Rhinolophus ferrumequinum: one gene and its partners. The protein of the gene in region 3 interacts with the protein of the main gene of each other region in a pairwise test. Links are inferred from orthologs where the notes say so. Each region holds a gene or a part of one and is shown on either strand. Other genes may lie near its edges. The genes, in order: MYRIP, ODAD1 and C9H1orf216.

Region 1 (10,951 bases), on a different chromosome or scaffold from region 3:
AAAATTGTAATACTGTGGGGACAGAGCCAGGAGTGCAGTTTCCAGGCTCTGGCCCTCACGTGGAAAGGTGCTGGCTCAGGTAGTAATGGCCATCAGCTGTGATTGAATGGCCATCAGCTATGGCTAGTTGGCCATCAGATGTAACCAGTGAGCCATTGGTGAGCCCCAAAATGGGGGCTAGCAAGAAGATGGTGGCTGAGCTTAGCAAGAGCGGATTGCAGCTAGCAAGTGGGGTTGGTTGGCAGAGAGAAGTGGACGGCAGGTTGCAGATAGTGTGGCTCCTGCTTCCTGTGTCTCCAAGTCAGCCACCAGGGAGACTATAGTGGTATGACTCCCCTATCTATGACTCCATGGGTGTTCCTTTTTGGCCTCACCATGTCCTGCGTTCTTATGTGGGGTGCGGGACCAGAGACCCCGCATGACACCCAGCATGACAAATACTCAGTATATACCAATAACAAAAGATGAATGAATACAAGTCACATTTGACTTCTGCAATTACAAGAGGTGCTCAAAGTGGTTACTATCAGCGCCCAGACACTTCTGATTATGGCGAACTACTGCTTGAGCAATGTTGACCAAAGTATTCACTTGTATACATTTTTTGGCACCCTGGTATACTGTAAAATAATGTTGTTTTTATCAGTCTCTCTCAGCAGCAGCAGGATTCTTTCTTGGATGCCCTAGACAGTGAATGACAATATTCTGTTATTACTTCTACATTGTCCTTCCAAGATAGAATCAACTTTCCGAAAGAAAACAGCAAAGCTTTTTAAAAGCCATTATTTAGTAGGGAATGATAGCTGTATAATAAAATATTAATTGTTCTAAAAACTACCTCAGAGAAAAATACTGTATTTACTAGAAACAATAAATTATTTTCTCTGCATTTCTATTTTTATTTAGTCTAATATCTGTTTCACCAACTCCAGATACACATATGGTCACATGTCTTGTTTTTCTAATTAACCACTGCTGAAGAGCAGAAAATCCAGGATTTCCATGTTAAAGCCTCCCACCCACCTTGAGTTGTTCAAAAACCTGAGTGTTTACTGTGTCCAGTGGGGTCCATCCTGCTTCCTTATACAGCAAGCATAGTGGATGTGTGTCACGGTCCTTTGCCTCCTGCTCTCTCTTGGTGACGCTGTTGAGGACAGGTCCTTTGTAGACTAATTTGTATAAGCTTTTGTGTGAACATAAATTTTCATTTCTCTAGGATAAATACCCAAGGTGAAATTGCTGGGTTGTATGGTAGGTCTGATTTTAGTTTTAAAAGAAGTAGCCAAACTAATTTCCAGAGTGGTTGCACCATTTTACATTCCTGCCAGCAATGCGTAAGTGACAGTTTCTCTGTCCCCTCACCAGCATTTGGTGTTGTCACTGTTTTTTATCTTACCCATTTTTATAGGTATAGTGGTATCTCATTATAGTTCTAGTTTACGTTCCTCTAATGGCTAATGATATCGAACCCATTTTCATGTGCTTATTTGCCAGCTGTATACACTCTTCAGTGAAATATCTCTTCACATCTTTTGCCCATTTTCTAATTGGACTGTTTGGGGGTTTTTACTGTTGAATGTTGAAAGTTCTTTACATATTCTAGATAGAAATCCTTTGCAGATATGTTATTTGAAAATATTTCCCCCAGTATATCGTTTGTCTTTTCATCTTAACAGGATCTTTCACATACAAATTTTTAAATTTTTAAAACAATTTTTGATGAGGTCCAATTTACCAGTTTTTCCCTTCATTCACCTACTTTTCACTCAACAAATAATTATTTATTATATGTCTAAAATTTATCAATATTCCAGACACCCACAGGAATCAAAGATGTGACATGTTCCCAACTTTAAGGAATTTCCAGTCTACTTGGGGATATTGGAGAACTACCCAAACAACTGATATTACATAACAAGTGCTAAGTGTCATGGAAGATGTAGAGATACTTTTTCTTTTCTTTTTCTTTTTTTTTTTTTAAAGAAAATCAGATATCATGTTTTGGCTGAGTGAAGGTTTTACTACTTCTATGCCAGAGAACACCACAAAATGGCATAGAAACTTCCTTTATTAACTCATTTCTTTTCCAGGTTAAAATAATAATTTTTAGATAACTAACATATTCAATCTCATTCTGTGCAAGGAAATTCCACATGGATTGTGTAAATTAGTAACGATCTTTCAGGGCAATGGAAAGGATTGCACCGTATTTTTTATTTAGGAAATCTAGGATTCAGCAAAATTAAGTAACTTGTCCAACGTCACGCACACAGAAAGTGGTAAGGTCAGACTGGCACTCCAGTATTGTGATTAATGATCTTTTAATTCTATCCAGAATCCTTCGAGACATGTCCTTTTCCTGCCAATATAAACTCATCAGTCTTCTGGCTAAGAAATGGACTGATTCATGTTTTAAAAGAATATGTGATTTTCTTGGTGTACAAAAGTCAACGAGCTCTTCTTGATTAAGGAAGAATCCATTAAAACTCTCACAGTGGTCAAGATCACGCAGAAAATGGAAAAAACAAGCTCTGCCTGTGAGTCACAAGGGGCAAAAGAAGGGACGGATATTGCTGGAATTCAGTAAAATTTCGTGGGATGACAGCTCAGGATGGAGTAACCAAGGAGGTAGCATTTTAGGTCATCTTCTTGCAGGCTCATCTTCAAACGCCGAATTTTTCATGGGGAATGATTTAAAAGAATCAATAATAGCTCTGGTGAAGAACTGAAGTTGTGTCTCTTTTAACCTAAAGGATGACAAATAGGGAACTGGAGCTCTTTCTCATTCATGATGTCTCTGGATTTCCATCTGTACTTTTCTTTCTGTATTTGACCTTGCCCAAATCATTGAACTATTCTGTGGGGACAGAGCCCCAAAAAGCAGTTTCCAGGCTCTCGGCCTCACATAGAAAGGTGCTGGCTCAGGTAGTAAATGGCCATCGACTGTGATCAAATGGCCATCAGCTGTGGCTAGTTGGCCATCAGCTGTAACCAGTGAGCCATTGGCCACGAATATAACTGCCATAGCTACACTAGAAGAAAAATGGGGGCTAGCAAGAAGATGGTGGCCAAGCCTGCAAGCGGCGCAGTGAGGGTTGAGAATTGTGTGGCTCCTGTTTCCTGTTTCTCCAACCCAGCCGCCAGCGAGAGTATAGTGGTATGACTCCCCTACTTATGGCTCCGTGGGTGTTCCTTTTTGGCCTAGCCATATCCTGCATTCTTATGTGGGGAGCGGGAGCTGAGACCCTGCAGGCCATCCCGCATGACACTTGGCGTAGTCGGCAGGATACCCCGCAAGCCGCCCTGCACTACACATGGCGCAGCGAGCAGGGTATGGTGTCGGCCAAAGCTCTCGAACGGCGGTGGAGCAGTTTGTGCCTATGAACACTCAGTTGCAGGAAGACTAGGAGGAGCAGCTGCCTGAGAGCTGGACCCCGTGGAGGGATGGGAAGACGTGGACAGTTCCCCAACCAGCAGAGGCCAGAGAAAGCGAAGGTTGTTGCGGCCCCGTGGGCTGGGAAGTGCTTGCTGAGGCAGCCCGGATGCAGGACTTGTAGTCCCAGGAGGAAACACTTGCTGAGTCTTCCATGGGAGATGAGGGTGAGGTCAAGGTCATCTCACCCCCAGGACAGCCCTGGCGAATGACTATGGACTATGGGGAATTGCCTTCCATCCCTAATTTAATTGACCACTTGACTGTTTGGGAACATACCACCATGTAATGGAACTGGCGGATATTTGCTTTTGTGTCTTGACTGGCCGCCATCGAGAATATGTAAGCACCTTGACTGTGAGACGCTGTTGTTCCAGCACGATACCCTGAGAGGCCCAGAGAGAGTGGCAGTGCCCTGAGAGCCCTGGCTGAGTCCAGGAAGTCTGGCTGTGTCCAGAGAGAGTGGCAGTGCCCTGAGAGCCCTGGCTGAGTCCAGGAAGTCTGGCTGTGCCCAGAAGTACTGGTGGCGCCCTGAGAAACCCTGGCTGTGCCCAGAAAGCCTGGCTGTGTCCAGGAAGTAGCATTCACCTCCAGGCTCCTCGCACAGGGCCCCTCGCGGAAGACGCTTGTCGCGTAGATTGTGAGGCGAAACCCTGTAGGGGTGGAGTGTGGGGACAGAGCCCCAAAAAGCAGTTTCCAGGCTCTCGGCCTCACATAGAAAGGTGCTGGCTCAGGTAGTAAATGGCCATCGACTGTGATCAAATGGCCATCAGCTGTGGCTAGTTGGCCGTCAGCTGTAACCAGTGAGCCATTGGCCACAAATAAAACTGCCGTGGCTAGGCTAGCAAGAAAAATGGGGGCTAGCAAGAAGATGGTGGCTGAGCCTGCAAGCGGCACAGTGAGGGTTGAGAATTGCGTGGCTCCTGTTTCCTGTTTCTCCAACCCAGCCGCCAGCGAGAATATAGTGGTGTGACTCCCTTACCTGTGGCTCCGTGGGTGTTCCTTTTTGGCCTCACCATATCCTGCATTCTTATGTGGGGAGCGGGAGCTGAGACCCTGCAGGCCGTCCCGCACGACATATTCTGTATGTATTTATTTGTCTTTTAAAATGTTTATAACTTAGGGATGATGTTAAGACCTTGTAAAGAGGTAGGTTTATATATTAGGTCAGTTTTGCGAACACCTGCAAGATGTCAAATAACCTTTGAACCCAGCCCCCATTCTTGTCATGATGTAGCTACTGTAGGGCCACCTGTGGAGAGTAATCCTTCCCCCTTCTACATTCAAATCTTTACTCTGCTGGCCTGAGATGCAGCTGCAGAGACAGAGGTCTTCACAATGTCTGGAAACAAACGAAGACAAGTGTTTAGAAGTGGCTTACTGTAGACCAACAGGAGGCACCTGTAGGAAAGCATGCACCGACTACCTGCCAACATTTGGGCAGGTTTATTCCCACCCCTGTGCTCATCTCACTATCCCCGTTCATCCCCAAACAATCAGAATACCCCAGGCCTGACCATCTGACTACTCAAGTCCTAGACAGCTCCGGGGTAGAGCATGAGTGAAGCAGGGAGAAAGAGTTTTCTTGGGTGGTGTAATGTGCACTCTGGGAAAGACGGGACTTGCCTCATTCTTGGATCCCGACCAATGAGAAGATGATCCTAGAGCTGCCACGTGTCACTATGTGAAGTAAGTCGATTTAACAATGAGGCCCACAGAGGAAAGCAGAGAGGGGAGGAGGAGGGAGAGAAGAGGGAAGGGGAAGGGAGAGAGGAAGAGGAAAAGATGCTGAGACTCTAGTTCTACTTCTGACATCACTTGAACCTCTGAATCCACATGTGCCTGAAGTTGCAACTACCATTTATTTCATATAACAAAAGGTAAAAAACGGAACCTTAGACAGATACATTTGGTTGTGCATATGTCGATTTTCTCTAGGAGGGTACACAAGCACATGAGAGCAATGGTTGTCTCCAGGGAGAGGAATTGAGCGTCTTGTTAACTATCTACCCATTTGCACTGTCTGAATTTCATACCACGCCAATGTTACTCAAGCATAGATAAATACAATTAAAATTGAAGGTAAATAACATAGAACCAAAACACAGACTTTCTTCCACTTTAACCAGTTTTGTGGATTATAAAATCCCTTTAAGAGAGGAAAACAGATCTTTAGAGAAATCAACTCCTTTACCTTCCAAGTTTCCTTCTTAAAGTCCCCCCGCCCCCACCCCACTCTCCCGCGGACAGATCAGCAAACCAGCGAGCCATCCATTTCTACTGCGTAAATTTACACGGAGAGAGCAGCTCAATCCACCGTCCTGAGAAAGGATTCCCAGGGTTTTAGGAATCACCAATGTAGCTCCACAAACGCTGTATTCTGATGGAGTGACTTCCACCCTGCAGCTAAAATTGACAGTGTGTTTTCACAGCAGAGTTGTTCGTGCTGAGGCAGTCTGTTTTAGGAAGATTCCAGGCCTTGTACATTATGGATGCAAACTCACGCTGAAGCCCTGGCCTGGAGGGGAACCTTTCAACTCCTATTTGCTTTTTCAGGACCTGGAGCACCTGGCAGGTGCCCGAATGCGTTCCTCACCTGCAGTAATCTTCCTGCGTCCTTCTGCCAGCGCGGGCTCACTAAACCGGCGGTGTGGAAGCCAAGGGGTTTGGGAGATTTGGGCGCGCAGTGGCCTGGGACAGCTCTTCGAGCCTAACGCGAATCCAGTCCACGCGTGTTGAACGAATGAGAGTCGCTAGCTCAGTAAATTCATGAGACTAAAGGGAATCTAGACCAGGGGGTGGGTCAGCACGGTGACTTTAAATACCCAGGGACTGACTGTGAAGTGGAGAGCTGTCTTTGGAGAAGCTCCACGCCGGCTCTTCGTGAGGCTCCAGACTCCCGCCCGCGAGCCAGGCCGACCCGGGATCCCGCGACCCAACACTCCGCGGTCAGGGAGGGGCCGGGCCCCCGAGGTTTAGGGGCGAGCGACCGGAAAAGCCTGACTTCAAAGCTGAGAACGACCTGAGGTCTCACCTGGGGGCTCCTGGGCCGCGGCCCCGACACCGCACTGCCGGGCTAAGGGGCGCCCAGGAGAGGGCGCGGGACCCCGCCCCGGGCGCGCGCAGCCCCAGCCCCGCCTCCTCCCGAGGCGCCCGCCCTCCCCGCGCGTGCGGCCCGCGCGCCGGGGGAGCTCGGGAGAAAGCCGCGGGCAGGTGCCCCCGGCCCAGCGCAGGCGCGATCGCGCGCAGTCCCTCCAGCCGGGCACCCCGCACGCGCCCCCGCCCCGCCTCCGCACGCGCCCCGGCCCCGGGCGCCTCTGATTGGCGGCCGGCCGGGCCAGCGTGTCGGCGGCGGCTGCGGCCGGGCTGGCCCTGGCTGCCTGCGGCGCGGGCGCCTCCCTCTCAGCCGCGGCCGCCGCGGCGCTCCCGCCTCCTGCCGGCTCCCGGGCTCCCGCTGCGGCTGCGGTTCGGGCGGCCGAGCCCCGCGGCGTTGCGGCTCAGATCTGGCGCGCCGCACGACCCGCGCCCCTGCCTCGCAGCTCGCCGCCTCCTGATCCACGCGCCGCGCTGCGGCAGGTGCCCCGGGCGTCCTGAGACGCGGTGGCCTGAGCCCGGCCGTCATCGATGACCCGGGTCACGGACCTGCTCCAGCCTGGTCACCCCGTGTGAGTACCGTCCCCTCCCCTCAGAAGGCTTTCCGCCACCGTCCCTCTTACGTTGCAGCAACTTTGGGGGTAGGTGTGTGGAGGTGTCTCTCACGTCCCCCCACACCCCGTGCGCGTCCTGAGCCAGGGTCGGGGGCTTGGCCAGTCCGCGGCTGCGGAGGGGCACGGGGGTGGGGGCGTTGAACTTGCGTCGTCGCAGAGTGGGAACCGTGCCTTCCTCCGGCTGCCGGGGCCGAAGCTTGCCTCTGTGTGTCCCTCGCGGTTTTCGATCCCCACTAGCCACGTAGCTCTTGGGTTGCTGTTCACCGCGCACCTACTAAGCTACGGGCGCACCTGCCGGGCGCCTTAAATCATCCGGTAAGCGCCCGGAAGCAGCCCAACGCGGTGGACTTGACTCTTTCGGACTCTTAATTTCTGTAAAATGGGGCTAATCAGGGACTCGCTCAAGGTCACAGCTGGTGCACGGAGTAAGAATCCGAGTCGATTGCGTCTGGCCGGTCCCCGGACTGCCTGGAGAGGGACGCGCTGTTGCGGGGAAGGAGGGGGTTGGTCACTTCAGCTTCATCCCGGTCTCTTCCTCATACTCCCTTCCCCCAAACTCCGCCTTATTTGGAGAGGTCGGGATCCGATCCCAAAGGACCTCGCGGGGGACCTTCGGAGCGAGCGCGGAGAGGAGCAAGTCCACGGTGGGAAGCCCTGGACCTGAGACATTTGCAGTATCCCCTCCATTCCCCGTCACTTAATTTGCTAACGTCTGGGCAGAGTCAGGGGAATTTGCTAGGTGCCTGCTCCGTCTCCTTCTCCCAAATAAGTCCTGTCCCCGAGGATAAATATCCGAGACTCTACCTGCACATACCAGTTTGGGCTCAGGGACTTCCTGAGACGCGGGTTCGTTCTGAGGTTGGCTTCCCCAACACTGGCTCCCATCAGCTCTTAAAACAATGCCTCTGGCTTCATTTCTGCTCGCCCCTCCTCCCTACCCCTGGATCTGGATTTGTTAAACCCTTTCCTTGGGGAGGGTGGAGTCCCGTCCCAGAATGTGTAAATGTTGGCAGACGTGAATCTTTTACTCCAGATCCTTTGAGGCAGCTCCTGTGGGGCTGTGCGCGGTTGGAAGAACTTTGGACGGGGGAGAGAATGTTCCCTCCCCTTTTGACATATCACCCTGTCCCTCCAACTCAGCCTCCCTTGCCCCAACTAGGCGATGACTACTTAGATAGGTTTGTGATGTTTGACAAACATCTTTGAGCCTCGACGTTTTTTGTTTAATGTATACAATGGAATAATCCCTGCCTTTTAGTCTTCCCAAGGCAATTATGGTTCAGGGGACATGTCAGATGTGCAAGTCGAAGGAAGATGGTCCAGAAGGAACTGAGCTGTTGGTAGAAATGGAGGTGATTCAAAGAATTTTTTTACAGCAGCCTCGAGGACCCTATTCACAAATCTAAAAATCCTTCTTTCCAGAGAAATTTATTTTGGTAAAACTTTGAAGAGACTACTCTCCATCTCCCTGTTGATGTTGCTTGCCTGGTCATGGTGATTGAAACTGACAGTGGTGTAGACTGAATCCTGTTTCCTGTCTCCCTGCCAAGAGGCACAGAAGGAGAGTTCATCTGTGGCCTTAACCTTCAGAGCAGCTCACTCACATGAACTGAAATACTCCATTGAGAACCGAGCATCTCCCTGCTTTTGCCTTTCTGGTTATTACCGTGTTGGCAGACTTTTGTCTCAAAGGCAAGTTAAGGAGGGACAACTGACCAGACCTTGGTGAATTTGTTTTAATATCATATTGAAGTATGACATAATCACAGCAAATGGCATAGATCTGAAGTGCATTCTCAATGGACTTTCACAAACTGAACACACCTGCGGACCCCGTGCCCAGGTGAAGACCTATCATACCCCCCCAATCTCCCCATGACACCTACAGGCACCTTCCCTCAAGGGTAACCATCATCCCGCTTAGTTTTGTCAGGTGAGTTTTAGTTTTATTATTATGATTTATTTTATCATTTTAATTTCAAAGTGAAAATGAAACTGCTAGATGATTTTCTACCTCTTTTTTATATGTATGTAAAGCAAAGGTAGTTATACCTAAGCCAGTCCAGAAAGTTAGAAGGAAGAATTTGGTCTTAAGATCTGGTTGGAGTCTGAACTGGTTGTACCATTGTCCGCCCCCCCCCCCCCCCCCCCCGCCACCACACACACACACCCTGATCATTGGTTCTTGTTCTTGGGTGATGTGACCTGCTGGACCCTAGATGTAACAGTGCTGACAGGGATAAATAGAGGCTGGTTTACTCGTAGAGTGTATTTGAATAATACAAATCTGAAATAGTGTGGTAATAAAATATAAATGAAGAAAAGATATGAATGAATTCTTATTTGAAACATAAAAATGGAAATATTTTGAATTTCTCAAGGTGAAAAATTTGGTGGATAATCGCAGAATTTCAAGGCTGAGTGACTTGTGAGCTGTTCGGGCTGTTGCCACATGGTGGCGCCACATTAGCGGGACAACTGAAATACCCACCATTCTTTCCCAAGCCCTCCGGAAGGAATCCTAGGAATAAAATCCTAGGAATAAAAATCCAACAGTTCGGGAATCTCCAAAAGTGATGTCTGCACACGGTGGTTTTTGCAGTGTCTGGCAGGCAAGCCTCCCTCTGCTGCCTGCCAAGTCCGTGGCTAGAACACTATCCCAGCTTTTTGTGGGTTGGGGCAGGTGGAACTGAGACACTGTTGCTTTCTCTTTAATAACGTGGAGCTGTGGTATGTCCTTGGAATTTTAAAGAGGATCAGTTGAGAAGCTAGCTTAAGTGTGTTATGGTTCTATTGGTCTCATTTCACCCCAGAATCCCCCAGAGGTCTGAGAGAAGGAGTTCTCTTTCCCGGGGCAGGTAGCTTTTTCCACAGAGCACTGTCCATGGTGAACTTAGAATACTAAACAGGCCTGGGTGTAGCCCAACTGCTGCTGGCAGAAGGGCCCCATGCCTTCCACAGCGTGGGGACCAGGTCACCAGGAGAGCCCTCAGGAAGTGGGCATGCTGTATCCAGCTGAGACAGCTGAGCAGACCCAGTCAGTGCCCTTCAGCACCTTTTCCTCTGTCAGTGTGACTGAATGTTGTTTAGGTGATTGGATTTGTGTGATGGCTGCGAGCCTCTGATTGCTACGAGTGTTAAGTATTTGCCATGTGCTGGACACTAAATATATATATATATATATATATATATATATATATATATATATATATATATTCATTTAATCTTCACTATAAGAGGAGGATGGCTTTCCTATTTTATAGATGAAGGAACTGGGCCTTGAAAATTAACCACTCTTTCTGAGTGTACGCAATATGTGAGCCAGAGTGAGGTTTGAGAGCCAAGTCTCTCAGACAGCTTCCCAGCTGAATTGTACCCTTCTGCAGGGTTAGAGAAGTCTTGCGTAGTTCTTTTGTCTTCCCTGACACCTAGCATAGCACTCTACATATAGTAGCTACTTACGTCTAAGAATGGGGATTGCCATACATAGAAAATTGTGGGCTGAGCAGAAAGGAAGTTCAGACACGGAGGGATGAGAATTTGGGGTTGAGTCCATGCAACGTGTAACACTGGGACTGAGTGTGTGCCCATCGTGTGTAGCCTTCTTTTGTGTTGAAAATTTTATGGAAATGAAGGCCTGTCATTTATTTTTGTGATTTGCTTTTTTCACCTAATACTGCTTTTTGATATGTGTTGATAACATATGTTGATAATTATAGATGTACTATTTCTTTGATATACCAGAGTTCAAATATTCCCCATCGATGGACCGAAAAAATGGTTTTACCATTTGCTATTATAAATAGTACTG
Region 2 (10,771 bases), on a different chromosome or scaffold from region 3:
AACAGATTCTCCCCTGAAGCATCCAGAAGCTTCACCTTGCTGATACCCTGATTTTACCCAAGTGAAACCCATTTTGGACTTCTGTCCTCCAGCACTGTAAGATAATTAATGTGTATTATCTTAAGCCATCAAGTTGGTGATAATTTGTTACAGCAACAATTGGAAACTGATACAAGTAACTTTCAAATTCCTGTTTGTGATCCCATAGTGTGCAAGAAATCACTTGCTCTAGAAAAGCAACTTTTTAAAATGAAGAATAGAAGAGAAAATAACAGAAAGAATTACACATAGAAAGAAAGTATGATTTGGTGAAGGTTTTGTTTCAGATAAACATATATGTGCACATGTGTTTATATCCATCTGCATCTATATGTGTATGAACTGCGTCACCAGTCGTGGTCATAAAAATTTGAAAGAACACTGGCATAGAAAAGTTACATTGTTTCCACGGTCACATAGCAAGATCTTGAGGCAGGGAGGATTAGACACCTGTCTAGACTCTGCTCCATTACCAACATCCTCCTTTTGCAGATTAAGGAACTAGGGCCCAGAGAGGTGAAGACGTGCCCGTGGTCACACAGCTCTGATGTGGCTGGACCAGGATTCTAACACAGGTTTCACCGACTCCAGAAAGTGAACCTTTCCCCTTAACTGCACCAGCCCCCCTTTTGAATGTGTGGGATTGTGCTCAGCACTAAACACCCACATTCTGGAGCCTGGGCACCCCAATGCCAGGCGATGCTTTCAATAACCCCATTTTTCATATGAGGAAGCTAAGTCTCAAAGCAATTACGACACTTGCCCCTAAGCAAGATCCAGAGTCTGGTCTCAGAACCCACCTGCCTGTCCAGGGTCCTGGCCTGCTCCTGCAGCTCCTTGACCTCGGCCTGCACCTGGGCCTGGCACTTCAGCAAGCGGCCCATGTTCTTCAGCCTCTCATTGTCCTGCAGCCGCTTGACCTGGCTCTGGGCGACGCTGATCTGCACCTGAAGTTTGTCCCGCACCTCCTCTAGGCGGTGGATCTCCTCACTGCCCAGGCAGGGAGGAGGAGGGGAGGCCAGCAAGGGGCAAAGGTCAGCATCACTAAAGGCCAGATACACTGGGCCTGCCCCAGCTTCAGACCCGAGTCTGACCCCCAACCCTTCAACAGCCCCCTTCCAGTTCTGAGACCCAGGCACTCGGCTCACAGTTGCTTATTGATGCGCTGGTGGACTTCCTTGCTGTAGGCCCGCCTTTCACCCTCCATCACTTTGCACTGCCGCAGCAATCTGCTCAGCTCCCAGTCCACTGAAGGACAGACCAGGCAAGGGACTCAATAGGAATCCAGGCCCAGCCCCTTCCTCCCTAGGACCTAGGTAGGAATCCTAGCTCCCTTAGGGTCTCACAAGCTGCAACTGAACTGCAGACCCAGTCCCCAACACCCCTCTAGGACTGCCTCAAACTTCCTCATCCCTTAGCAAGGTACCCCTTGCTAACCTTGAGATTTCCTCCCTAAAACCCACTCCTTCTCCGGTTTGGGCATACATCTGTTTCCCCACTAGAGGGCGCTCCTGGAGGGCCTCATGGTCCTCAAGGATCCACTGCACAGGACCTGGAACTTGGGAAAGCTGAAGACAGGGGACCAAATCAGCAGTCTTGCTCCCTCCTTCCCCCTCACCCCCAGCTGCTGAGCCATCCTCAGTCCCACCCTCCTGCTCCTCACTCTCAGGCCCTCTCCTAGGCTGAGGCTTCATCCACTCTTGCCTGGACTATCACTCCAGCCTTCTCCCCAACCTCCCAGCCTCCCCTCACAGCCCCAGGGGCTCCTTCTACACTCGGAGCGGACTCTGGCCCTTCCCGGCTCCCAGGCCTTCCCTGGCGCCCCAGCGCCCCCAGGACAGTCTCAACTCCTCAGCCTGGTGTTCAATGCCCTGTAGGACCTGACTATCCACTTCTCCAAGTCTCCACCAGCTCCCCACCTCCCACAGCCCAATGGTTCTCAACCTGGAGCTATTCTATCCCCCATGAGCATCTGGCATTGTCTGGAGGCATTTTTGGTTGTCACAATGTGGGGCAGGTAGCGGAGGTGCAGAGGGTGCTACTGGCCTGTAGTAGGTAGAGGCCAGGGATGCTGTTAGATATCCTACAAGGCACAGAACAGTCCCCATAACAAAGGATTACCTGACCCCCACGTGTCAACAGTGCGGAGATTGACAAACCCTGCTCTAGCCACGTGCTGTTCTCTCTGTTGAAACACTCTCCCCTTTCTTTACCCCTTGGTGATTCCAGGGAGGAGTTCTGGGCCCCACTCAAGCTTGTCCTGCAGTAAGTCTTGGCCCACCCATATGCCTCCCTCCACGTCCATTCCCACACTTGTGCTCCCCACTAGAAGGCTCTCCTAGAAGACCACCTTGTTCCCATGGCTCTGAAGCACAGGACCTGGAATTGGGAACCCTGACAAAAAGAATGAGATAAAGAAAAAGAATGAGTGAAATAAAAGATCGTATGAATTACCCATTCCCTCGAGGTAGGCCTCGCTGCCATTCTCGGAGCGGTTGTTCCCTGCAGAGAATCCTGAAGGCATCTTTCCCAAAGAGGGTGGGACTCCTGCAGCGGTAACACAGGACCCCTTCAGACAGCAAGCAGGAGAGGGCGGGGAGGAGGTGGGCAATGCACAGAGGGATTAGGAATTGGAAGACGACCCCAAAATCAGCTCTGGCCTCTCTCTGAGTCTCAATTCCCCCAATGGGTTGGAGGGGGGACACTTCTCTGGCCTCTCCCCACACTCCTTCCAACCTCCCACCTCTCACATTCTCTGTCTTGCATCTTGGCTCTGATTCTGGCGCGGGGGGACAGGTCCCTTAGGCTCTCGGTATCTCTGAAGGGGGCGGTTTGGGGAAGGGATCACAGAGGAAGGACCGCTGTAGGGAACGAGGCCCCTTCCCTACCTGCTGGAGTGCTTGCCCTGTCCTTGGCGCTCCTAGCTCACTGTTGTGGTCTGGTTACTGGGGAGATAAGGGGAGGGATCGAGGCCGCGAAGAGAGGCTGTGGGAGGGGAGGCTGGGGAGGAGTGGCGGAGGCGGCGGCGAGAATACCTGCTCGGATCCCCGCCCCCACCCCCACCCCCACCACCAGCCCCCCCCCCCGGCTTTAAACAGAACTGTTGGGGAGCCCTGTGAGGGGTGGGGCTGTGGCCCTATAAGGGGCGGGACTAGAAGGGCCCGCTATAATCCGGCCTTCGAGGTTTGCGAGGGAAGGGCTCGGAGATCTGTAAAGGGCGGAGCCGGAAGGGTCTGTGAGGTTTGGGGCTGGGGAAATCACCGGTACCTGTGAAGGGCGGGGCTGCGGGGACTCTCGAGGGGAGGAGCACGGATACCTGAGGAGGGCGGGGTTTCTTGGGCCAAGGAGGGGCGTGGCTGGAAGAGCGCGTGAGGAGTCCGCTGGGAGGGCGCTGGAAGGACCGTGGTTCCCAAGACTTGTGGGGGCGGGGCTAACCAGGAGGCACTCTAGCTGGAAAGGCCTGCGGGCGGTCGGGAGGGGCTGCAAGGGGAACACGGGCCTGCGAGGATCGGGCTGTGTTTCCGGGAATTGGAGGCAAGGTTGAGAGCAAAACATCTGGAAGACCGAGGTCCTTCGGGAAGGGCCGGAGAGAAGCGTATCTTAGGACCACGTTATTTTGAGGCTTCATTAGCAGGAAGGCGGTGCCGGCGCCGGGACTTGTGAGGGGGAGTAATGCTCACCACCGCCTCAGGTCCTCCCAGCACCTCACTACGCATGCGCGGCCAACGGCCTCTTAAGGCACGAAAAATCCCTTCGCTGCCCACGGAGTCCGCAGACTGAGAGGCGGAAGTGGGCGGGGCACCCGGCTCCTCGCACCGCCCCCGCCTTCCGGTCACGCCCCTGTCTGACCACACCTCCTCGCCCCTTTAGTGGTCGGCTGCTGCCCACTTGGGCCTCCCCGGAGTCGGCGGGCAGTAGGCGCTCCTCCCTGCAGGCTGGGTGTGCCCAACGCCTGTGGTTTCCTGTGGGAGGAAACCGCCCGCGAGGCGCTCCGCTAAGCTCGTAGCGTTGGAGGCCCAAGAAGGGGAGATCCCACCTCTGCTCTCGGGGCCTCTGATGCTCCGCCATCACAGGGCCCTAAATGGGAGACCCCCCTGAACATCCCCAGGGTACGAATACCAGGGCGCTAATACCACTCAGGGAACTTGATTCAGAGTCCTGCTCTCCTATTCTCCACCTACCCCGCTCAAATTTCCATCTCCCTAACCTAGACTCCTCCGCGGATCAGTTAGGGGAGGGGGGCTGGCCTCCCTTTGCCTGCACTCCCTGAAAAGCAGTGACCCTCTAGTCCCTAGTTTTTCCTTCTGTGACCCAGACTTTCTATCTTCCTTGGGGTTCTGAGTCTAGACCCCCAGCTTCTGTCCTGCTCAAAGACTTAAGTTTGTGACTACCCACATACTCCCCAAAACAGGGACTCTCATTTTGTACTCCCAACTTTTTAGTCTTGGGACCCAATGGACCGAAGAATTTGCCCCTTCCCCAAATCCTAGAGACCTTAATCTAGGGTCCCCCAGTACAGAACCCACCCAGGGCCCCAATGCCTAGTATAACTAGCACATACAGCAGTGCTTACGCTGTACGAGGCACTACTCAACTTCCCTGATGCGTTCACTATTATTATCCCTATTTTACAGATAGAGAAAATGAACCATAGAGAGATTATTAGTAACTTGCCCCAAATCAGAGTAAAGCAGCTTGGATTTGAATCCAGCCAGTGTGTCTCTAGCTTTTGTGCTATAGGTACCCCAGCTTTCTGGTCTTCGTAAGTACCCACCCAGTCACTAAACTGCCTATTCCTCACCCCCTCTGGGAATCCACATAACCAACCATTCTCCCGCCCCCAGCTCTGGGACCATCAGATACCCAGACTTGCCATGGTCCAGTTCCCTTCCTTTGCAGGGACCCAGAATTTTAGTCTGCCAGCTCTCAGATTCCATATCAGGACCCCAGACACCTGGTCCCCTGTCCCTCACTATTCACCAGCATTCAGCTCTTCCAAGAAACCCAGGTACATACTAGTCATCACCCCCCACCCTAATTCAATAACCCCCAAATTGACAATAATAATAGTTAACATTAGATCCCTGGTACTGTACTTCTGTTTAAAACCTTCCAATGGCTTCCCACTGCACTTAGAATAAATTAGTCCAAACTCCTCCCCTAGTCTTCAAGGGCCCTCTTTGATTTCCCTTCCTTCCACTCCTTCTAACTCCCTGTATTCCAGCCACACTGGCCCTTCTGTCTGCTCTCCAAACAACCTGAGTTTGTTCTCAAGAGCCTTTGCACGAGGTTCCTCTTCCCTGTCTTCAGGTCTCAGCTCAGATATCACTCCTCTGAGAGGCCTAGTCTGACTACTCCGTTTAAAGTAGGTTCCACACACACACACTCACTATCTCTGTCACTCTGTTTTGTTTCTTTCAAGGCCCTTATCGCTATCTGAAATTTGTCTTCTTCATTGATATGTTTTCTCTTTATTCTGTCTCCCTCTACTAGGTAGGTAAGCTCCACAGTAACAGTAGGGTCACATTCTGTTTTCTTTATTATTAACTCCTATTTAATAGATGTTCAATAAATGTCTGATGAAGAAAGAACTGAATGTGTTAAGTGTGTTAATGTACTGGTATTACCTTATTCATTTAGAATAAGTATCAGACTTATTATTATCAGTATTAGTATATTGTCATTATTCGTATTATTATACCCACCTCACAAATTAGGAAACTGAGGCTCAGTAAGTTGACAGAATTGGTCAAGGTTCCCAGGGCAGGAAATACTGGCGCTGGGATTCTTAACTTCCACCTCCTGCCCCCTTTAGAGTTCACACTTCCCCATTTCCCATCCACTGACACCCACCATGGTACCAATTTCACCAGTCTTCAGCCTACTCCACATGGCAGGAATCTGGCCTCCTCCCTCAGACTCTCATCCCTGAGTATCCAGTCCTAAACCCCATCAAGGAATGCAGACATCAGACCCCAGGTCCCAGGACAAGACCCAGAGCAGAGGCCTGAGACTTGGACCCTCCCACCCCGATGCTTGCCCCACCCCAGGGTACTGCTCTGCTCTGTTCCCTCCAAGGACTTCTCATCTCAACCCTGGGAGGAAAACGCAGAAACGATACGTGTCTGGGGGCAGTGGGCGGGGGCTCAAAGAATGAAGAACCCAAGTGCCTGGGCCCTCCCTCTAGCTGCAGACCTCAGCTGGGTGCGGTGAGGGTGGGTATAAAAGGGTCAGTATATATTCAGAGGAACAGAGGAAGAAAAACCAGGAAAGTGAGAAGAGTGAAAGACAGGGGAATAGGACAGGAGAGAGAGACAAGAGGTAGAAGAAAGAGAGAGGAAGGAAGGGAGAGAGGGAGGGAGGGAGAGAAAAGGGTGGAAGGGGAAGAGGGGGAGAGGGGAAGGGAGAGAGAGAGGGAGAAGGAAAGGGAGAGGGAGAAGGAGAGGGAGAAAGAGAGGGAGAGGGAGAGGGAGAGGGAGAAAGAGAGGGAGAGGGAGAAAGAGAAAGAGAGAAAGGGTTCCAGGATTGGAAGGGAGAAGGACTGAGAGGGCCAGAGAGGAGAGTGCGGGAGGGAGGAAGGCAGCGAGGGAGGCGGGGGCCTCGAGAGGGTGGAAGGAGGGAGGAGAAGGGCGGGGCACGGAGGCCCAAGCGAGGAACAGACTCCAACTCTGACTTTTTCCGCTGCTCTCGGTAAGTTTCCAGTCCGTTATCCGAACTGGGATTTCTTTATTTACTTGGGAGTGCAGCTGTTTGGGAAGGACACCCCTATGGAAATCCTTGTAATTTCAGAAGTGATCTCTTAGCACTTGGGTGGGGATTCAGGAAGGGGTGGGGCCCGGCAAAGTTTGGGGGTTCCCAACAGAGCCCTCCACCTGAAAATATCCTGTAGTTTTCCCCCACAGCTGTCCACTCTCCCTTGAGAACCCGGAGATCAGGGCTTTGCATGAGAACACCCGAAGTCTGGGGAACCTCCAGGCCCCTTCCCCTTCTGTTCACTGAAGGGTAGTAGGAGGCTGGCTCCTTCTCAGGCCTCTCTCCTCCCAACAGGCATCTCATCCATTTTTGCCACAAGGTGCCCAGCAGGCACAAGTCTGGCAGCAGGGTGGGGTGGGGATCTCGTGGGCAGCCAGGGGCTGGGGTTTCCCTGGTACTTGGAGTCAAGAGTGGGATGAGTCACCAATGACTCACCCCATCTTCCTCACCCCCCCTCACCCTAGGAGAGGGGTGGGGTGAGTCAAGGATGCCTGTCTCTGGGGACAGCCCTTAGCTTCTGATGAATCTGGAGGGGTGTCCACTTGAATTTTCAGAGCCTGATCCATATGCACCCAGGGATAGGACTCTGAGGAGATGCTAGTCCTCTGAGACATTGCTAGTCCTACTCATTCCTGGACCCAAGAGTCCATCCCTGACCCTCTCCAGCCCCTGGGGAATTCAGGAGTCCGGGCCCTCAGCCCCCTCCTCCCTCCAACCCAGGAGTCTGGACTCAGCCCCCATTCTCCAAGAGGATTCGGGCATCTCACCTGCCCCTGTGCCAACCTCTTGAAACGACCATATCCTGATGTCCCCTACCCCAGGCTTCCACTGCAGCCATGTCACTCCTCCTGCTGGTGGTCTCTGCCCTTCACATCCTCATTCTCATCCTGCTTTTCGTGGCCACTTTGGACAAGGTAAGCCCATGGAGCAGCAGCAACAGGGCCTCCGCTCTCCTGCAGACTCCCCACACGCCCCTCCTCTAAAGTCACTCCAGCCCGACCCCTTTCCCCTGCCATCTACCCCTCTCAGCTCTGCCTCTGATGCCCTGACCTCCTCCCCCTTTCCTGCTAAACCCTTTTCCTCACCCTTCCCACAGACTCCCTGACCACTCCCACTTTCCTCTCATATCCCTACCCGTTTCTCTGTCCATGCCAGTCCTGGTGGACCCTCCCAGGGAAGGAGTCCCTGAATCTCTGGTATGACTGCATGTGGACCAATGACAACAAAACGTGGACCTGCATTAATGTCAGCGAGAATGGTGAGGGGCATTGGGGACTGGTCTGCAAAGGGGAGGGGTAACCCCAAGTCTCCTCCTGGGACCAAGGATTGGGACTCTGCCAAGGTTTGAGTTGGCAGATCTGGGTCTCAATGCTGAGTGAGTAGGACTGATGTATGACCCACCTATCTTGGTGGTGGGCAGCAATATGCTCCTATTCTAAAGAGTATGAGCTAAAAGCCCTCCTCCCTTATGGTCCAGAAAGAGTGGAGGCCACATTCTATAGGCTTAAGGAATGAGGAGAAAGCTCCCAAGATTCTGAGAAGATAGGATTATGTGTCCAAAGTTCTAAGGAGATAGAACTGGTGTTCCGAATGAAAGACTGCGACCAAGTTGTCCAAGTTCCAAGGGGGTGGGGCTGGAATCACATTGAATTTCTAAAGAGATGGGGTTGAATCCTTTCAAGGTTCTAAAGGAGGGGTGAGGGTGACAGATGCATCTGAGTTCTAGAGGGGAGGAGTTGCGTCCATCGAAATGTCTGAGTGGGAGAAGGTGAAACATGAAATGCTTTTCCCCTAAGAGTGAAACAACAATTTCTGTTCTCACCACTTCTATTCCGTGTTGTACTGGAGGTAGCCAATGCAACAAGGCAAGAAAAATAAATAAATGGCATAAGGATGGAAAAGGAAGAAGTGTAAAAAAAAAAAAAAAGTCTCTATTCCCAGTGGGTTTATGTAGAAAATCCTAAAAAATCTACAAAGACACTTCTAGAACTGATAAGGGAATTTAGCAGTTACAGGTATCAAGGTCAATAAACGTGATACTAAGTATCCAAACTTGTATGGCTCTAAATGGCGGTGTGTGCAGGGGTGGGGGTGGGGGGTGCAAATGATGAATAAGCAGGTGGAGCTGGAAATCTGAACCTGCTGTGAGTTCCACCTCTATCTCCTCCTTGTTGTAGGCTGGCTGAAGGCAGTGCAAGTCCTCATGGTGCTTTCCCTTATCCTCTGCTGTCTGTCCTTCATCCTGTTCATGTTTCAACTCTACACCATGCGGCGAGGAGGACTCTTCTATGCCACTGGCCTCTGCCAACTTTGCACCAGTGAGCACTGTTCCCTGGGAATTGAAGGGAAGGGGGGGGTGCCTGTCAGGATGCCGGGGCCCCTGAGAATGGATGTCTGGTAAAAAAAAAAAAAGAAATCTCAGCAGCCTCCCATCTCCTTGGCACCTGTCTCCCTCCCAGGGACTTACGGGAGTTGTGGTTTTCAGTGACTCAAAAATGGTTTGTATGGTATATCTCTGAGTCATGGGGGAGCTGGCACTTGGGGCTTCAAGGAGCCAGGGCTGAGAAATGTGGTGTGGGCAAATAAATCCCAGGAATGGGAGGTGGGTATAGGTAGCCAATAACCCAGGTGAGAACTCTAAATCATAGTAGTAGTGGTCTTATAATGGCAGCCAACTGCTGTTTCTGGTGGACCTACTGCACTTCTGGGAGTTTTATGTATTTTTCAATTTTTTGACTTCAGGTGCAAAGGGCTAAGTTGATCATAGCCCTCAGTTTGGGGAACATTATCTTCCCAGGTTCCTGCAAAGCCCCCCTCTTGTTTTATTAACATTAGTTCACTCTTTGTGTTCGTGGCTTGTAGAAAGACACTCAAAAATGTTCCTTATGTGGGCGGATGGATGAGTAGATATTATCGTCCCATTTTTGTGGATGAGTAAAGGGGACCTGAAGATTAAATTGCCCAAAGCCAGTCTGCAGTAACCAGGTTGCACCGCGCTGTAAGCGAACCAAGACTCCCAGCAGGCAGCGCTGCTACCCACTCGCTCTCCGGCGGCTTATTGGCCCCATGGGTTGCTGGGGAATGCAGTGTTCTTGAGGCTACAACGTGACACGGGGTTCCTGTCTCCCCACAGGCCTGACGGTTTTTACCGGGGCGCTGATCTACGCCATTCACGTGGAGGACATCCTGGAGAAGCGTGCGGCCAAGGGCACCTTCGGTTACTGCTTCGCTCTAGCCTGGGTGGCCTTCCCCCTCGCCCTGGCCAGTGGTGTCATCTACATTCACCTGCGGAAGCGGGAGTGAGCGCTGCGCCTCGCTGTGCCGCTCCAGCCCGCTCCCGGACTCTCTGCCTCACCCCGCCTTCGGAAAATAAAACTGTTTAACTGCCAGCTCTGCCTTTGCCTCCTTCCTTTCTTCCTCCAGGGACCCAGACTGCTCACACCTGATCTCTCCTGAACCCGGGGCAGCCCCCAGCAGCAGCAGCTTCGCCCTCAGAATGTCCAGCTCCCTGCCCCCAGTCCCTGCTAAACCCGAAACGGGTCCCAAGCCGCCTTTCCCTTACACAGACCCGAGGCCCTAGGCCCTTCCACCGATTATCAGGATTCCCCCAGAGTGGAGACTTTCAGGCACTTCTGGAAAAGAACCGGGAGTCCTGGTTTCCAGTCCTCTCTCTCCTTGTGCGAGGGTCATCAACCAAGCAGGGTGTGCGTGTGTTGTTCTAGATTGTTGGTCTCTTTTTTTTTCATTCTGTCCCTCCCTCTGGGAAGACACCTTTCCATTTCCCTCTCAGAACCCAGTCTCCTTCCCTCATTACAGTCCAACCCCTCCTTTCCCCTCCTCCCCAAATGCTGCCTCTAGCTAGTATGACACCTTACTAAGAATCAGATGCCACCCCACTCCTCCAGGCTTACCCTGCCCCACATTAGGACACATGGGGAAGGGGAAACTGAATTTTACACTCACTCATCCTCTCGCTGTG
Region 3 (10,050 bases):
GCTCCAAAAGACGCATTAGAGTTGATTGTCCGGCTAGGTCTTATTTTCGGGGAAACACAGTATATCTTTAAGAGGCAGAGGACACATGGATGAAGAAAATGAGGTCACCAGCTTTGTGGGCCTTCCTTTCCCAAGATGAGCTAATTCTGGGGAATGATTTTCCTTCTAATCCGCCTTAAGGGCTCTCTGGTATATCAATTGTCCTCCAGAACTGTGCCTGATCTTGGGAGTCCAAGTAACAATATTCACATTATAATGTTTTTTTAACAGTGTTCAAGGCGTACTATCTTTATGTAACCTAAAAAGGTTAAAATGATTGATTTGTCTAAGTTCCCTAAGCTATGTGAGGAGGTTGGCAGATGATAGCTCAGGAAAAGAGAAGAAAGCAGGTAGCAAGCAATGTAGTTTGTACTCCAGGACTAGAAGCCTGTGCTTTGTTCTGATGTGAAACTTTTGGGGGCTTCCTCAGTTATTTCCCTGCTGCCCCCAGGAAGAAGCCCAGCTCCTGGGAATGGTAGTCAGACCTTTCACCACTTGGCCCACTTTATCCTCCAGCCTCATCTCCTACCTCCATTTCCCCACAAGATCCAGTCACACTGGCCTCTGTCTTGTCTGAAAACACTCTAAACACACACGCCACGTACAATCTCCTCTGCCTTCTCCTGCTTTCTCTCTGTGAGCTTCTAGTCATCTTTTAAAGCTTGGCTCAGATATCACCTCTGTGAAGCCTTTCCTCACCCTCTTATGTACTCATGACTTTTGCCTTCCAGATATCACCTTGAGCCTACCCATCCCTTTCTTCCGGGGAGGACTAACATTCAAAAATTGTCTGCTTAGAGAGGAACTCATGCCTGTCCTAGTTCCTGGAGTAGAAATTCTTTTCATCTTCCCTTGTTTCCTTACCTGACACCCCAGGCCCCCAGGGCCAGGACCTGGCTACTCGCTGCTCGCCTCTCTTGGCTCTGATTTCTGTCTGCTTGCCAAGATAGCTCTCACTGCTGGATCCTTGTGATGGGCTGGCCCGCTGCACATCCCTGTTCAGGCTGGTACTGGCCATTTCTGGTGATTTCGGTGTGTCTGCCAATTAAGTCTCTGCAATCTAAGTAGTTGGGTGGACATAGTCACAGATACCGCTTCACTGAGGGTGACAGATTCCCTGGTATCCTGACTGAGGACGCTTCTGGTGAATGAATAACAGACATCTATACATCGGCTTTTCTGTGGTCATGTAGACACGAACGCCTCTGCCTTCCGGGGGTTTTTTATTCTCCAGGCTCCCAGCTCTTTGAAAATTATGGAGTGGCCAGGCCCACTGTCTGAGCACTTACTGCATTAATTATACAGTGCTAGAGTATCCCATACAATATTTCCCTTCACTAAGAAAAGAGAGGCTACAGTCTGATGCCCTTGGAATTCACTGGACTTATCAGGTATTATGTTATTTAGAACAACTAGCTTTATAGAAAAATGGAATGAACAATTGATGACTTGGCTATGCCAGGTTGGGTTCTGCTATGCCGAGTACAATATAGGTATTAAATCAACAATCAGTATACAATTGTTGGTCTTTTGTAGCCAGAACACATATAAAGAGGTAGAGATGGGTGTGATACCTTCCATGATTGTACCTAATGACTTTCTCCAAGAGTTTACTTCCTGCCTCTGATATCCTGGTTCTGCCGGCCAGGAGGTTTTAGCAGCTAGGGAGGAATGTTTCTAACCAGGGAACACAAAGATGATTCCACAGCATTGCAAGCTCCTCATAATATCAGAGGAACAGAAGAAAGGAGGTTACAGTGTAGGCTGATCTGATAAAGGCTATCAAGGGGAAATAGAGTTGCTACTACTTAATGAGGGCTGAGAGGTTCATGCATGAGTGAGACCCAAGGGTGTTCTATTAATCAGCATTCTTTAGATTGCTAGTGAAAGAAATTCCACTCAAGTTAGGATTGGTAAAATGAGGGCCTTATTGGAAGGTATACAAAGGCCTCAGGAAACAGGGACTGGAACCTCATGAGGACTTCTGTCTTTCGTCTCTACTTCTATGTGTCAACATCATTTTCTCCTACTAAAAACTGACTTCTATGTGCCAGAGAATGTGAATGTTACAGCTTACATCTTCCCTGCTTTGTCTTCCTTTAATTTTATTTCAGAAAGTCCCAGAGAAGGGCTCTGACTGACTCACCCGGAGTGGGGAGTTCTATCCCTGGACTCACCAGGCTCCCATTTAACCCACGTGGTTAGAGCTGGGAGAGACAGAGCCAAAGGAGAGGTGGGGTGGAGCTGTTCTGGGCCCACCAAACAATCAGATGACATTATGGCTGTGTGGCATGGGAAGATTTGCATAACTCCAGACCACTGAAGCTCAGAGCCTTTAGGATTGAGGGTTTGGATCACCTCAGAAGGAAGCAAACTCCGGCTGAAGGCAAGGGGAACTTGCAGTGGTTAAAGGAAAAGGGAAGACTAGTTAGGTCTTGGAACCTGATGTAGAAATAGGGCTGAGGGCTCCACCTGTATATTTGTAGCTGGGGGAGTGTCCAAAGTTTGAGATACTTTTGCTTTCTCCCTTTTTTATTTCCTTTTCTCTCTTAAAATAAGAGTTGTCATAATCATAAAACAAAAAGTTTTTTTCTTCTTCCACTCTCCTTATTTTTGTACATAGGATTTATTGGTGTGATTTAATGTGCCATTTAGTCTCTAAGTTGCAGAATGGTGAGTTGGAATCAAGTTGAAACTGGAAGAGGATGCCCTATCATGGAGATCACAGAGTTGAATTCTTCCTCATTGAAACAAACAAACAAAAACAAAACAAAAAAGCAGCAAAAGAGAGGGATGAGGGAAAGACAAGGTATTTTAAATGTATTATGGTTCAAAGATGACTCCATATTAGTTTAGTTTAATTTTGAAATGGGGTAGGTGAGGAAGGTGTAGCCAATTGTGTAGTTTGCTCAGTAAAATGGGGATGTGGAAGGGACCTTCTGGAAGCTCACCGTGCCTTGAAAGCTAAATTTGTCCCAGTCTTCTTTCTGAGGTTGCCTAAGTTAAGAACTTAATTTAAGAAGTCTTAGGTTCCCAAACACCAGCCATTGCTTTTTGGTGTTGATCATTAAAGTCAGCAATTACTGTTTGCTTTGCTTGCAAACTGGGCCCCCAAACCCTCAGTTCCCCCAAGGAGGAAGAAAGTGAGGGGATCAGGCTTCAGTAAGTGGAAACTGAGAAAAGCTCACTGCACTGGCACCAGAGAGGCACTCATCGCCCTGTGGGAAGCCACCAGGGCCTGGGTGCAAGACAGTAGCCCCATGCCTGACCCAGAGTAGATTTTCTTTCCTCTCTTAAAAACGTAGCTTTCATAAGTGGCTTTAATAACTAAGCATAACATGAATACAGAATTTCCAATTGTGACAGAGACTATGAAGAAAAGGAACAAAATGCCCAGGGATAATATAAAAGGGGGTCAGAGAAGGTTGATCTGAGAAGAGATCTGAAATATGAGAGCGGGGAGAGAATGTTAGGCAGAGGGAACAGTGTTTGTAAAAGCCGCCTGGCAGGCAGAAAGAAGCGTCAAGCCGGGTTGCAGAGATGGAGCGCAAAGGCTGAAGCCGGAGAGGCAGACGGGGCAGGATGATCAGACCTCTGGGGCTGCTGCCTTAAGGATCTGCCTTGCAACAGGTTTTTGGCAGGAGGGTGGTGACATGATCAGATTTTCATTTTGAAAATGTCAGTGTATCCACAGTGAGGCAAGCCGATCGGAGAGGCCCAGTGAAGGCAGTTAGGAAATAAAACTGTACCTGCAAGGCCTCGGTCAAGGCTGCGGAAGGCGAAGGAGGGGAGGCGGCTCCCGCGCTCCGGCCTCCGCGCGCGGCTCCGCGGGAAACCGAACCGGCCCACGTGGGCCGGGCGGCCCCGCCCAGAGCGCTGACGCCGCCCGGCTGGCTCCGCAGTCCGCAACTGGGGCTGGGTGCACCGCTCCGGAACCCCGCACCCCACGCCCGGGTCCCGCGTGACGCCCAGGCCGAGGGACCCCTCAGCCCCGAGGGACGAGTTCCCGTCGCGGGTCCCGCGGAACCAGAGCCAGCCGCGCTGGGCAGACGCCTCCAGGCGGTGAGTCCAGACACTGAGGTTCGGGGACGAGGAGGGAAACCGCAGCCTCGGCCCAGCTGCCCCGAACGGAGAGATTAGGAAAGGATGGTCTCTATCTTTTGTCTGCGGGGGTAGTCTTCCTCTTCCACTAGGCTAGGCAGGAAGGGAGGCCGCTTCCCCCTGTTTTTACAGAATCACCCTTCCCCATACCCACCCACCCCTCAACCCCGGCAGACTGCGGATTAGCTCGGAGAGAAGCCTGACCCCGGGTGTCTGGGTTTCCATTTTACCCTCTCTGAGAACCCCGCTATTCGTAGCACCACCCTCACTGCATCCCAGCCTCCTTCGTGGCCCCGCCCAAGTTTAGGAAAAAGAAAACATTTGGGCGGAGAAGATCTACTGGCACCTTGTTTAGCAAGGAGGGTGTTGGTAGGTTATGAAGGGACGGTCCCTACATCATTCCCCCAGGACTTCTGCCCACTACTGGATGTGGGAAGGGTCCCTGCCACTTCCACTATCCTCTCACTCTTACTGATCCCACATTTTTCTAATCCTAGTAGTAGATGGTCAGCAGAAACCTCGTGTCAATTCAAATACTAATTTTGGTAAAGCTGGTTGTTGGGGAGGAAAGAAGAGCATAGTATGCCCTCCCTCCAGGGCCTCAGGATGGAGCAAGCTGGAGGGACACAAGATGGTAGGCATGGAGGGAAGGGGACAAGGTCCAAGAGAGGCTTGTCTGTGCGTGTGTGGGTGGGTGAGTGGGCGTCCTCCTTGGGCAGAAGAGGGAACTGAACCTAGCTCTTCTAGCCCTGGGCAATCAGCAGTAGCGGCCTGCTCCTACTGTTGGCCCCCATCCATGAGTATAGATATCCCGCTCTCTCACCCCCATTTACTCACCCAGCAAGTGTGGACTGACACTAGCTTAATGCCAAGTTCCATGCTGTCTCCTAGAAATACGGTGGGAAATAGAGGAGTTCCACGTCTAGTCAGGCAGCCAGGTTTATGAACTGCTTTTACAAGAGACTTAAAAAAAAAATGAATAGACATTTACTGACCATAACTATGTGCCAGGGACGAGAAAAAAACATGAATAAGACAGCGTGTACCCAAGGCTGTGGGGACCCAAAGGGAGGCAGTGTTTATGTATATTGGGGCAGTGAGGAGAATTTCAGGATGGCTTCAGAGACGGGGGATATGAGAGCTGAGTTTTGAAGTACAAAAAGGAATTTGCTGGGTGGAGAAGGGAGGATCTTAGAGAGCTGGGGAGAGGAAAGGTATGGCAGGCTAAAGGACCCATGTGAGGAGAATGACGGTGCATTCTGAGACCTCTGAGCAATTTGTGCGGTGGGAGGGGCAGAGCATCTAGAGGCAAGTCTGGAAGGGTGAGCAGGGGCCGGATGAAGAACAGCCAGGCAGGCCGTGGAGAGATTTAGCAGAAGTTTAGGGAAGGCAGTGGGAGCTGTGACCAATCAAATTTTCATTTTTTTGTAATAAAGCTTTTTTTCTTTCTTTCTTTCTTTCTTTTTTTTTTTTTTTTAAAGATTTTATTGGGGAAGGGGAACAGGACTTTATTGGGGAACAGTGTGTACTTCCAGGTCTTTTTCCAAGTCAAGTTGTTGTCCTTTCAATCTTAGTTGTGGAGGGCGCAGCTCAGCTCCAGGTCCAGTTGCCATTGTTAGCTTCAGGGGGCACAGCCCACCATCCCTTGCAGGTTGTTATTAGCTGCAGGGGGCGCAGCCCACCATTCTTTGCGGGAGTCCAACCAGCAACCTTGTGGTTGAGAGGACGCGCTCCAACCGACTGAACCATCCTGGAGCTCAGCGGCAGCTCAGCTCAAGGTGCTGTGTTCAATCTTAGTTGCAGGGGGCGGAGCACACCATCCCTTGTGGGAGTCGAGGAATCAAACTGGCAACCTTGTGGTTGAGAGCCCACTGGCCCATGTGGGAATCGAACCAGCAGCCTTCGGCGTTAGGAGCACGGAGCTCCAAATGCCTCAGCCACCGGGCTGGCCCCTCAAATTTTCATTTTTAACTGCAGGCAGAAAGATCAGTGAAAAGGCTGTGGCATTCAGTAATCCAGGTAAGAAATGGCCTGAACCAAGTGAAAGTGAGGGGAGATGTATGTACATAAACACAGAGGTTTTTAAGAGGAAGAATTGTCAGTGTTTGGTGGCCAATGAGATGGCAGAAGAAAGCAGAGTGAGTCCAGGATGCTTTTAAGTTTCTGGTTGGAGTGACTGAATGCACAGTGAGGTCATTTTGCTAAGGACACTGAAGATGGTGAGCTGGTTTGGACGTGTAGAATTTGAGGAGTGGTTGGTTACAGAGTTGGGTATCAGTTGGATCTGGGCTGGAGACAGATCTGAGAGTCAACAGCACATGATGGTTGTTGAAGCTACAGCAGAGGATGAGGTCACCTGGGGGAGAAGTACATAGAATGAGAAGACAACATGCCTCGAGGGCTGAGGGAAAACCCTCTGCAGGAGACCGAGAAGTAACAGTCAGAGAGGGAGGAGGAAAACCACGAAGGGAGATGTTAGCAGAGACCAGAGAAAGGAACTGAGAAGGAGCAGCCAGGCTCCCGCTTGCTGCCTTGTCCCAGCAGCTAGGTTGCCTGGACTCAGGTATCCCACCCTGTCCTGCTCTGACTCATTCTTCTGCTTCCCCTCTACAGACCAAATGTTCGCCTTCCAGCCAGGGGTGGCTGAGGGGGGCCAGTTCCTGGGGGGCCCACCTTCTGGAGTATGTCAGCCTGAGTTCCAACCAGATAGCAACTCCAACTTCATGGCAAGTGCCAAGGATGCCAATGAGAATTGGAGTGGGATGCCAGGCCAAGTGGAGCCCATTCTGATGAAGAAATCCGCGTTGCCCTCTGATAACCAGTCCTTCCAGGCCCCTGGACTTCCTGAGGGGGAGGTCCGAAGCCCACCAGAAGGGGCAGAGATCCCCAGAGCTGAGCCTGAGAAGATGGGTGGTGCTGGCACAGTCAGCTCCCCTCTGGAGGACAATGGCTATGCCAGCAGCTCCCTGAGCATTGACAGCCCCAGCAGCAGCCCTGAGCCTGCCTGTGGGACCCCTCCAGGCCCTGGCCCTTCAGATCCCTTTCTGCCCTCGGTGGCCCAGGCTATGCAGAAGCTGCAGGCTCAAGAACGCTACAAAGAGCAGGAGAAGGAGAAGCACCACATGCACTTGGTGATGTACCGTCGCCTGGCTCTGCTCCAGTGGATCCGAGGTCTGCAGCACCAGTTGATTGACCAGCAGGCCCGCCTGCAGGAGAGCTTCGATACCATCCTAGATAACCGGAAGGAGCTTATCCGCTGTCTCCAACAGAGGGCAGCACCATCCAGACCCCAGGACCAGGGCTAAGAGCGTTCCTCCACGGGGTGCAAGGGGTATCTGTAAATACTTGCAGGCATGAATGTGGTTGTGCGCAAGTACATAATTATTAGCTGGTATGAGTGCAGCTAAGGATAAGTGAGTAGTATGTGCTAACATGTAGTGGATATGTGCAGGCATGTATGAATCCGCACCTGGGCACCAGCTTGCATGTGCGGTGTGTACACACGAGCTAACTTAATGTGCAGGCCTATGTAGGAGTGTGTCCATCTGTGTATGTGTAGCATGTATATAAGAGGGAGTAAACTTGTATATGCATAGACAAGTGTGGACAGGCACCCAGAAGTGTGTGTATACAAGTATGCATGAGTGAGGATGTACAATTGACCCTTGAATAACACAGGTTTGAACTGCATAGTCCCGCTTATGAGTATATGTGGATTTTTTCCAATAAATATGTATAGCTCTGTAAGTGTATTTTCTCTTATGATTTTCTGAATAGCATTTTTTCTTCTCTAGCTTACTTAATAGTACTGTGTTTCCCCGAAAATGCTAAGACCTAGCCAGACAATCAGCTCTAATGCATCTTTTGGAGCAAAAATCAATATAAGACCTGATCTTATTTTACTATAATATAAGACCGGATCTTTATAATATAATAATATAATATAATATTATAATATAATTAATATAATATAATACCGGGTCTTATATTAATTTTTGCTTCAAAAGACGCATTAGAGCTGATGGTCTGGTTAAGTCTTATTTTTGGGGAAACACAGTAAGGAAAATAGTAAGTATATGGTGCATATAACATACAAAATGTGTGTTAATCGACTTTGTGTTATCAGTAAGGCTTCCGGTCAATAGGCTATTTAGTAGTTAAATTTGAGGGGAGTCAAAAGTTATACACGGATTTTTGACTGTGTCAGGGGTCAGCAGCACTAAACCCTGTGTTGTTCAAGGGCCAACTGTATATGCAAAAGATGTGTGTGCCTATGAGCGAGCTTGAGTGTGCAGGCTTGTGGTGGGTGTATGTGAGGGAACCCTTGTGTGTGCAGGCCTATGGGTAGGGATACATGTGTGTAGGTGCAGGCATGGGAAGTGTAGATTAGGAATGTGTATTTGCAGGTAGACTTGTGAGCAAGAGTGTGCAAGTATATATTCAGGTGCACATGTGGAGCATGCATCCATACCCTATGTTACCCATGGCCTGCCATAGCCTTTTTTCTCCACAGGGTCGCACTGCTTCCTGGAAAGAGGGCATCCTGCTGTCATTTATCTGCAGCTTATGGCTGATCCATTCTCTTGGGATTTCCCAGGCCACCTCTCCTCCCTCTCCTCACTCCTCCCAGACCTTGCTTTGCTAAGGCTGCTGTCCCTGATGATGGATTTGCTGTAGGTGGTCGCTGCTTTAGCCTGCCATGGCTTTTTGGCTGCAATTTTGCCAGGGCAATTGGTAGAGAATTAATTTCAGGGAGGGGAGCTGGGGATGGTGATCGACACCATGGTAGGAAAGGGGGGCAGGATCAGAGAAGAAGATAGGGGACTGTCCTTCTTGAACTCTGCCTTTGGGTACATGGGAGATGGGGATGGGGGAGATGATGATGGCAGAACCCTGTGAAGAATAGGAGAATGGGAATTCTAAAATACCAGTTCCAAATAAACCACACCTCTCCACTGCAGAGGAGCTTTTGCCGACCATACTGACATAAGCTTCTGATGAAAAGAAATGTGTGCTTATAATCTTGCAAGGAATGGACAAGGTGATCCCAGGGTGTTGGGAATAATCTCACTTCCGTCTCTCTGCCTCTACTTCGTATGCCTCCCTGGCTTTAACAACACTGGATGTTGAATGAGTTTGGTCCGTTTCCCTGAAATTAGTCTGTCTGGGCCAGGAGGAGGCACAGTTCAGCTTTCAAGGGTGGGCAGGAGCAGTGTCAGCCCAGCCTCTGGAAGCTCTTAGGATGCTGGGTCATACCCTCGTCCATCACTGTATGGCCCTTTGAATGGGGTTGACAGGTTCCAGCAGAAGCTCCGTGAGATGGAAAGTGGGTGAGTTCTGGGGAGAGCCAAGGACAAAGGTAGCCAAGCAATGTGTTTTGCTTCTGAGAGCCAAGAGGATACAAAATCCTGATGGGTGAGCCGTGGCATGGATGTCAACAACACTGCCTCTGTCCCTTAGTCTTCCTATCTGCAAAATGTGGGGGCTCTTTCTGATGATCTCTAAAGAGTTCCATTCCTGATGGGGGGGTGGGTGAAACAAACAGGGGATGAGGCTGAAGCAATGACCCTGGGGACTTTGTGTCTAACTCTTGCATGTTGAGTGTAAACCAAGATAAATAAACTGGAACAGAAAAATGCATTTCTTTTTTTTAAAGGTTTTTGTTAAAAAACATAGCTAACATACAACATTATATCAGTTTCAGGGGTACACCATAGTTATTCAACATTTATATACCTAAAGAAGTGATCACCATAAATCCAGCGACCATCTGATACCACATTATGCTATCACAATATTATTGACTATATTCCCCATGCTGTACGTTACATCCCCATGACTTACTTGTTTTTTACCTGGAAATTGGAACCCCATTCCTCTTCACCTTCCACTCCCTTTTTAAATTTTTCA

The links.
Region 1: the proteins of C9H1orf216 (region 3) and MYRIP interact in binary tests that used the Homo sapiens proteins (3 or more experiments, as listed by UniProt). The two-hybrid records come from large-scale screens. The link is inferred for Rhinolophus ferrumequinum from reciprocal best matches to the Homo sapiens genes C1orf216 and MYRIP.
Region 2: the proteins of C9H1orf216 (region 3) and ODAD1 interact in binary tests that used the Homo sapiens proteins (3 or more experiments, as listed by UniProt). The two-hybrid records come from large-scale screens. The link is inferred for Rhinolophus ferrumequinum from reciprocal best matches to the Homo sapiens genes C1orf216 and ODAD1.

What each region holds. Positions count from the first base shown.
Region 1 is NC_046300.1:13,120,318-13,131,268, reverse strand, and holds the start of MYRIP (rab effector MyRIP), read left to right. Parts: upstream 1-6,851; 5' UTR 6,852-7,098; intron 7,099-10,951. UniProt on the Homo sapiens protein: Rab effector protein involved in melanosome transport. Serves as link between melanosome-bound RAB27A and the motor proteins MYO5A and MYO7A. May link RAB27A-containing vesicles to actin filaments. Functions as a protein kinase A-anchoring protein (AKAP).
Region 2 is NC_046298.1:43,909,009-43,919,779, forward strand, and holds the start of ODAD1 (outer dynein arm-docking complex subunit 1), read right to left. Parts: upstream 4,091-10,771; 5' UTR 3,356-4,090; exon of another isoform or gene 3,307-3,355; intron 3,084-3,306; exon of another isoform or gene 2,985-3,083; 5' UTR 2,928-2,984; intron 2,609-2,927; 5' UTR 2,564-2,608; coding exon 2,494-2,563; intron 2,003-2,493; exon of another isoform or gene 1,984-2,002; intron 1,608-1,983; exon of another isoform or gene 1,525-1,607; intron 1,288-1,524; coding exon 1,188-1,287; intron 1,030-1,187; coding exon 840-1,029; intron 1-839. Other genes in the region: EMP3 (epithelial membrane protein 3), read left to right, coding at 7,629-7,706, 7,948-8,050, 8,970-9,110, 9,926-10,095. UniProt on the Homo sapiens protein: Component of the outer dynein arm-docking complex (ODA-DC) that mediates outer dynein arms (ODA) binding onto the doublet microtubule. Involved in mediating assembly of both ODAs and their axonemal docking complex onto ciliary microtubules.
Region 3 is NC_046292.1:24,780,804-24,790,853, reverse strand, and holds C9H1orf216 (UPF0500 protein C1orf216 homolog), read left to right. Parts: upstream 1-6,003; 5' UTR 6,004-6,068; coding exon 6,069-6,159; intron 6,160-6,753; coding exon 6,754-7,445; 3' UTR 7,446-7,917; downstream 7,918-10,050.